Linked DNA regions of Drosophila melanogaster. The protein of the gene in region 1 interacts with the protein of each later gene in a pairwise test. Each region holds a gene or a part of one and is shown in the gene's direction. Other genes may lie near its edges.

The links. The genes of interacting proteins can lie anywhere in the genome.
Region 2: the proteins of CG6484 (region 1) and CG12511 interact in a two-hybrid assay, tested with the Drosophila melanogaster proteins (one large-scale study listed by BioGRID).

What each region holds. Positions count from the first base shown.
Region 1 is NT_033778.4:17,581,034-17,586,102, reverse strand, and holds CG6484 (uncharacterized protein), read left to right. Parts: upstream 1-2,090; 5' UTR 2,091-2,159; coding exon 2,160-2,861; intron 2,862-3,277; coding exon 3,278-3,973; 3' UTR 3,974-4,096; downstream 4,097-5,069. Other genes in the region: CG14483 (uncharacterized protein), read left to right, coding at 65-313; Dcr-2 (Dicer-2), read left to right, coding at 4,677-4,697, 4,758-4,888, 5,010-5,069.
Region 2 is NT_033779.5:5,676,856-5,680,384, forward strand, and holds CG12511 (uncharacterized protein), read left to right. Parts: upstream 1-1,726; 5' UTR 1,727-1,842; coding exon 1,843-1,870; exon of another isoform or gene 1,871-1,927; coding exon 1,928-2,295; 3' UTR 2,296-2,368; downstream 2,369-3,529.

The sequences.
Region 1 (5,069 bases):
AAAACACATTTTATTCGACGAAAATTACGTTTTATCACAACTATCCGAGTAATATTACAGCGAAATGGGAACCTGGGTGCTGGAGGTGGCCAAGATGGGCATGTACATGGCCTTTCCGGTGACGCTATTCCACTTGTTTAACCAGCCGGAATACTTTGAAGAATGGGTGACCAAGAAGAAGCGGGAACTTTATCCGCCGGAAAGCAAAAGCCACCACGAGGAGCTGCAGCGGGCAATCCGTGAACACCACGCCCAGCACGACGCCAAAATGATGCGTGCTATGGAGGAGGCGGAGGGCAAGCAGAAGAAGTAGATATTTCGTTATCAACAATCATCCGGCTAATCCCACGTTATATAATCGGGGGCAAGCAAACAACCGATGCTCCGGATGGATGTGACTAACTGATCTGTAACGACGTAATAAAAACATATTGTATTTAACCGAACAACACTCGGTTAATCATCAGGAAATAACTATGATGTGGCTCCAGGGCTCCACTTGAAATGCATTTTGGAGTCCATTATCTGGCGAAAACAGCTCGATTTCAGGCCAAGAGAGCACTCAGTGTGTGGGGTGGCTTGATAAGGCCATTACATGACCATTGACATGGTTGCAAGTGGAATCCACAAGGACTGGGGGCAACTTGAAATCGCTATACGAGTGTTCTATAGTCGAATTATTATCATTATCACCCAGTAATCGCTTATCTACAGCCAAGCCCGCTCTGCACTGCCCGCCTATCAGAGGATCCGTCCTCCAATCCGTTCGGTGGGCCATCAATGGTTCCATCTAGTTCGCTGATAACCGATAGTGCCGCTTGACCGCCAGGTGACCGTTGCGACTTAAGTGTACGTACAGGTATTCAGCTATTCTGCGATTTTGTCACAGTTTGGGGTCCAATCTGGATCGATCCAATAGCGGATTTTCCTACATGTGTTTTGGGCGTGATGCGATGCGTTGCTGGTTACGCCAAAGATTAGATGCACTCCCCGCGATTTTCGCTCATTCAATTATTTTGTTGAGTCTGTCTCCGCTATTATCTGCTTTTCACACGGCAGCGCCGAATCAATTGTGCCGTAAATAACAAAATACCGGAAAAGGTTTGACTTAATCAAGCCGAAGATAGGGTACCCTCAAATGGGGGATGAGATTTGGTAAAAGTCTTGCCAGAACCTTTAAGGCATGCAAGTAGTAAATACTTAACAATTTGTGATTAAATAACTCGCTAATCTTGATCTTATCTTACTGCAAATCATCGATTTTGCTAATACAATTGTTTTCATTTAAATTTCTAACTGTTGCAGATATTTATTTATCTTAAAATTAAGTTCAGTCTTTACTTTCACACCTTATAGGAAATGAAGACAATATGCAAAGGCAAATCAAAATAAATAAGTATGCAGTATCAACTATGTTTGTTATCGTATAAAAATGTTTCGATTTATTTATCATGTTATCATGGTTTAATAACTTGATTTTTAGCTAACCCATTCATAGCTTTATTTTCCACACCGTCTTGTTTAACAACTTTTTAGTGCGTCTTACACCAAGTAGTTGGCTTAAAGAATAAAAAACTCAATTGAAACAACAATTACGATAAAATCTAAAACATAACTACCCAGAGGAATTTAAAAGGTATATATGTAATCGCATACATATTCTAGCTTCCAATCGCACAGAGTTAGAGATGATGAAGCATTTATTATGGTCGGGGGGACCACTTCGTTCCACACAACTTACATACTTTCGAACTCACTCCCAATCCCAAGGGCTAGCGGGCGGACTTCGCCGCAGGGCATAGATTCGGGTAATTGTTGTGGAATCACTTGATTGCTACAACATGTTGGAACATGTGTTGTTGCTGGAGTCGGGCTTTTAATTAGCTGCTTTGGCTCTCAAGTGATTTTGGGCGCTCTCAATGACGCTGCGCCGCCTCCACCTATCATCTGTCACCTGGTTTTGTGGGTGAAACTATGGCCAACTGATTTACGGCTCTGACTTGCGGTGCTTGACTTTCTCGGTCGACGTCGCTGCTTTAGTTATCGCATGAAAAGCGATTTTTCCAGCGTAATAACGGTCGCGTGGCGAATTCAGTTCGTTTCCGGCGATCGACAAGGAAACACCTATAAAAACCAATTTAAAAAAAAAACCCCTCGCCATGTCCAAGGGATCGGTGTTGCCACAATATATTGCTGGCTTGTCGGCCAGCTTTGGTGCCCTCTGCATGGGCGCCTCCATTGGTTGGTCCTCGCCCGTGGAGAATATGATAACGGTGAACACGGAATACGGCTTTCCCATTAGCTCCAGTCAGTTCGGCTGGGTATCCTCGCTGCTGACCCTGGGCGCCACTGTGATCTGCATTCCCATTGGTTTCGCCATCGATTGGATCGGCAGGAGACCCACTATGTTAGCCCTAATTCCACCGTACATGGTGGGCTGGGTGCTGATGCTGTTCGCCAAAAACGTGACCATGCTCTACTTCGGACGATTCATTCTTGGCATGTGCGGCGGAGCCTTTTGCGTAACAGCTCCCATGTACTGTACAGAGATTACGGCGACAGCACTACGAGGCACCATCGGATCCTTTTTCCAGCTGCTGATTGTGTCGGGCGTGCTGTACGGCTATTTGGTGGGCGCCTTCCTGCCCCTGCTCACCATCAATATCCTGTGCGCTATTCTGCCCGTAATCTTTGCTATCATACACTTCTTCATGCCGGAGTCACCCGTCTACCTGGCCATGAAGGGACGCAACGATGATGCCGCCAAGGCCTTGCAGTGGCTGCGCGGCAAGGATGCCGATATCGATGACGAGCTCAAGGAGATCCTGGAGGAGTCCCAGAAGCAGATTGATATGCCACAGGTTAGTTAACATTCCACTAATAATCAATCAATCAATCAAAATCGATCGATATTGAAGGCATAAAGAAACTTTATAAAGGGTTCGCAGGGCTTTAACAGATTTATTACTCTTTCCATTATCACACAATCGGAAGTGATACATACATATACTTACCCTGATAAAAGAAATGTTGTAAATTCAGATAGTATATAATATTTTGTTTTCATTCATTAAGATTTTCAATAACTTGAACCAAGATAGGGTTTGCATTAAACTTAAACGATTTCGTAGTTAAACTACATATGAACACAGGTACGTAATTTGTTTCCATTATTCCATTTAGTAATCAGTGTAGCAGATACTACTTATCATACCTAATAAATACATTGATTTTGGTGAAGATTAGAAAATAATACGTGGTCTTATTTTTATTGCAGGTCAACATTCTGTCCTCCCTTCGTCGACCCATCGTCCTGAAGGGTCTTGGAATCGCTGTGCTCCTGCAGGTCTTCCAGCAGTGGACGGGAATCAACGCCGTTCTCTTCTACTCCGCCTCCATTTTCGAGGATACGGGCTCTGACATAAGTGGCAGCGATGCCACGCTTATCATTGGAGTCACCCAAGTGACCAGCACGCTGGTTGCCGTGGCCATTATCGACAAGGCTGGCCGTCGCATCCTGCTCCTTATCTCTGGCGTTCTGATGGCCGTGTCCACTGCACTGATGGGCGTGTACTTTCAGCTAAAGGAGAACGATCCGGCTTCAATGGACAATTTCGGTTGGTTGCCGATCAGCAGTATCTGCATTTTCATAATCTTCTTCTCGATTGGATTCGGACCGGTGCCGTGGCTGGTGATGGCGGAACTCTTCTCGGAGGATGTGAAGAGTGTGGCAGGATCGATTGCCGGCACCAGCAACTGGCTGTCGGCCTTCGTGGTCACGCTGCTCTTCCCAATCCTCAAGAGCTCGATCGGGCCGGGTCCGACCTTTTGGATCTTTACCGCGATCGCGGTCATCGCCTTCTTCTACTCTCTGTTCTTCGTGCCGGAGACCAAGGGCAAGACAATAATCGAAATCCAGGACCTGCTGTCCGGAGGAAAGGGTGTCAAAAGTGATGACAAGAGCCAGACGTGATGATGTCGCGTAGTCTTAGTCGTAGCGATACTTTTTCATATTCTCCTTAAGCCAATAAGAAAATGTTATGTATAAGAAGTGAAGAGCATAATCAATAAAGTAGAATCACCATGTATATAAACTACCCGATTGAATTTTCGTTCATTTCCGTCAGTGTAGTTCTAATTAGACTCAATTAGTATAATTCTAATTAGTTTGACAAGATTTTAAGTCTTGGAAAAAAATGAGGAAATAAGAAACTTTACTCGTATGGAGGAGGGCTGCAAACGAAGGTCTAAATGATCTAAGGATAGTATGGGTCAAAAAGTGATGTGATATATTCTTAACAATTGGTATTGATTAAGAATTCAAATAATAAATAATTCACGAACTTACACTACCGAAAATGCTTATTATTTTGTTGCAGATTTCGATAAAAATGGAAACGTTTATTATTTCCGGAAGGTATATTATTGGCAGCGAGCATTTCAAAACAAATTTATTTATGTTGCGGTTTGTGGTAATAATTTAAGTTCAAAGAACCGCACTGCGTAGTGTGACCAGTCCGTTTTGAAACACAATTCTTAATACGTTTGACACAAGGCATCTTATAAGAGCCGCTGGCCACTCTGTCACCGGCTTCTTTGTTCTTTAATCGTAAATTATTTGACTTCAAATTGTAATATCAAAATATCCCGAAGACTCTGTAACCAAGAGCGAAGATATGGAAGATGTGGAAATCAAGGTAAAATGAATTGGCTTGCGCTCTCGCTTATTGCAAAATAATTAACAAAATCCTTTCCAGCCTCGCGGCTATCAACTTCGCCTGGTTGACCACCTAACGAAGAGCAATGGCATTGTCTACCTGCCCACAGGATCTGGGAAAACGTTCGTGGCCATCCTGGTCCTAAAGCGCTTCTCGCAGGACTTTGACAAGTTAGTAGCGAATGGATATACATATATATATTATTATATGTATTACCTATATCCGATACTTACATTTATATATATATTATTATATGTAATACCTATATCGGATTCCGATTTGTTTACACAGACCCATCGAAAGCGGCGGAAAGCGTGCGTTGTTCATGTGCAATACTGTGGAATTGGCCCG
Region 2 (3,529 bases), on another chromosome or scaffold:
TTGCAATGATGCATTCGTTAGCTGAGTGCAGCGAAATTCAGTGTTTCTCCCAGATATGATAAAAAACTTCATACGACATTGATTCGCAAAAGAGAAGTTTGCAATAGCTTGAATATTTTGCAAGAACTCCGAATTCTGTTTCTGCTATAATGCAATATGATTATAATAAAGTACAATAACAATCTTATGTTTGATTCCGCTTTGTCTAAAGGCGAGCAAACCGAATATAAAGCAGTGGAAAACCACAGTAAACTTTTCAAGAGAAGACGCTTACAGTGCAAGGAAAAGGTATCTTTTCAATAAGGATTTGTACGTTATTCATCAATCGATACAATTTAAAGGGTGTAATTATAGGACTTTACACAGAAATTAAACAATAGTCACATCATCAAAACCAAAAAGTTAAAGTTTTTAAGTAAATATTTCATTTTCGTCGTATATGACAATATTCAAATATTTTAAAATGGAACAAGTCGAACGAAAGCATTTCCTAACCAGCTCACGTACTTAGACAAACACCTGTATTAAACAATGGACATAAAATCAGGACTTGCGGAGAAAAAAATAAGGTAAGGGGAGAAAGTTTCGAATAGCAGGATTTCTTGTGCCAACTTCACCGCCGTAAGAGAATACACCACATGGCCAACACGTTTCGCATTGATGTTGAAATTGTTACTCGGTTACTCCGCTTGTGTTGGCCCTTTTTTCGCTCAGTTGAGCTCACATTTTATGGTCAAGTTGCATTCTGTTTCATTTATATTTCATGTGTGGTTTTTATTTTCCGTTTCCTCTGGGCAAGACGATTTCACATTTTACTTTTCCTATTAATGTCAATTTAAATGTTCCAACACTTTAGTTGCTTGCAGAGAATCACCCAAGGGTGTTTACTGCCGTTGTCCGACTGAGATATTGTTTGCACAAAAGCACTTAAAGACTGCATTACTCCTCCTAGATAATCGCTCGGAAAATAGTTGAATTCCCTTTTCCGCTCGAGTCCAGTTCCGCAGTCATTTGTGGCAATTTGCGTGCTCATTGTTAATTTGATTCTCGGCTAGCGATAAACGAAAAACACCTCGACAGCTCCTGGGGCCTCAGCTATTTGGATTGGGCGTGGCTGGGCGCATAATTGAACGATAAATTAAATAAGAGCACTGGTGAGACTAAGCCCCAAAACGCATTCAATCGTTAAAGCCCGTTGCCGTTTCGGGGGTCCCAGGCAATTGAACTGTAAACTCGAACTCAGCCAACTATACCTTCAGCTGAATAGCTGGTAGCTGACAAGGCAATGAATCACTGAAAAATAAGTATTTAACAGCGATTTTAAAGTTTACGTTATGAAGTAGCTATTCAATTCTTGTACTGAGATAAAAGCAATATATTTAAAAATTATTTAAAACTGTTCCGCCTGCTTAAATCCATCATAAATTAGTGAAAAGTGACTATCGCATTACTGAGTAACCATGAAAAGTTTAATGTAAATATGTGTGGGTTGAGATTGTGTGCAGGAATGATTTGCCAGAGTTTATGACTAATTAAAAACTTTTAAAATGTGCTTTTACACCAAATTTAAGGCCATTTAATGTAAGGGTCGTCGTTTACGTAATGCCACCCCAATCTTTCATGGGCGCATTCGAACTTTGATGTTTTTGTCGGCTTAGACGTTCACGGTCTGGCGGACATTTGCCCAGTTGAGCGCAGCTGGGGAGTGTGAGAAGCGCATAGAAGGGCGCAAATCAAAGCGACAGTTGTGGCATGCTGTGAGCAACCTTTCACCATAGCTCACCCAAATTGAATGTAAAAGCACAGCATCAGGTAGAGAAGGAAGACGCAAAAACAGCTGAAATGAGTGACTTACCAGTGGTGAAGAGCAGTACGTATGTCGAATCAGCGCAGCACATCGGGCACCTGCTCTAATACCCAATCCTAGCCATGAATAGCCTTAGCCAGAGGTCGCCGTACAGCCAGATCGGGATGGGAGCTGCCGGTGGTTTTCTCACCGGCTTCGTGCTCCTCAAGGCGAGTAAGATTATGGCCGTGGCCGCTGGCGGTACCATTCTGGCGCTCGAGCTGGCATGGCAGGCGGGACTGGTCCAGCTGGATGTGCTCAAGACATTCTCACAGCTGGAACAGGATCAGTCCCGGGGGCAGCTAGAGGTCAGAGAAATATCCCTGGAGCCAGTGAATCTTAACCGCGTTCAGGAACTTGGGGATAAAGCCAGGAAGGCGTGTGCAACCAGCGGTCGTCTATGTGTGGCCTTCTTGGGCGGCTTTCTACTCGGCTTTGGATGGGCTTAAGTAATACAAATTATGATCGCAAACACACATATACACAATATTTAAGTTGATGTAAACGAAAGTTTTCACCTGTAGTGGCCTGCGGGAATACTTTTTTGCAGTTTTTGGGTGCCGGCACGCAGGGAAAGTTTCCATAACAAAAGCTTTGAACATTTTATAGAAATTCTCTTAACAAATAGCCAAGCCTCTCTTTACCGCACTCACAGACACACACACACACACACCTACATACTGTAACGTGCATTTAAAGTTTGTGCTCCGCATAAAAAGGGACCCAGCAAAAACTTCAAACTTGTAACAACATTTTCATGCGCTTTTAAGCATTTCAATTTTCCCCGCTTGCTGGTAGAAAATTTATGCATAAGCAAAGTTTTTCATAACCAAGGCAATAGCTTAGCAATGTGAAAGTGAGAGAAGTAGGTGTAGGTGTGTCCGATTTCATATGCATTGCGCGACTCGAAAAATATGTGATTAGCAAGCTAGAATCATATGCAAAAAAAATTGGAAAAAGAAAATAAACATTGACAGTTTTTCCAAGTTTATATGTGTGTATAGAAGGCCGGTCTCCAAATCAATTAAAATCATCCCTTGCGCCAGCACCGAGTGAGAATAATAAGTGAGCCTGTCACGTTTGAATAACTATTTGACATCTGGCCGAGATATTCCTTAGCTTGTTTTTCCATATATTCTGCTATGGGAAAAATGCAAGCGATTGCTGCAAGCGATCGAAAAAATAAATATGCCACACTGGTCAGGGATCTTCTTCCAACAATAAAAATCAATTTAAATCGAGCCCGAAACTCACACACTCACTGGCATACGCATCACGTACGGCAACGTACGGAACACATGTCGTATGAGCAATGAAATTTGCATTTGAAAAAGCCAAAAATTGTTTTCTTTTGCGAACAGCCCCTGCACCCAATTTAAAGTCCGGCAATTGGCAAACTAGTTAGATTTGACATTTTAATTATTCAAATGCCGATTGCCCGATAATGGATAATCCCAATTAGCAAGGTATAGCCTTTAGTGGTTGCCACAATTAATTGAAAGAGAACGAGTGGGACAGTCCGAGGATAAATGAAGTCGAAAGTTTCGCCAGTGATTAGCATTGAAATCGGAGGGAGAGCAGCAGCAAAGGACTAAAAGTCGCGTCGACAGAAGTCGCAGTGCGATTGTGATTGGACGACCGCAGGCGGCGGTAGATTCAATTAATTAAAGGTGATAATTGGGT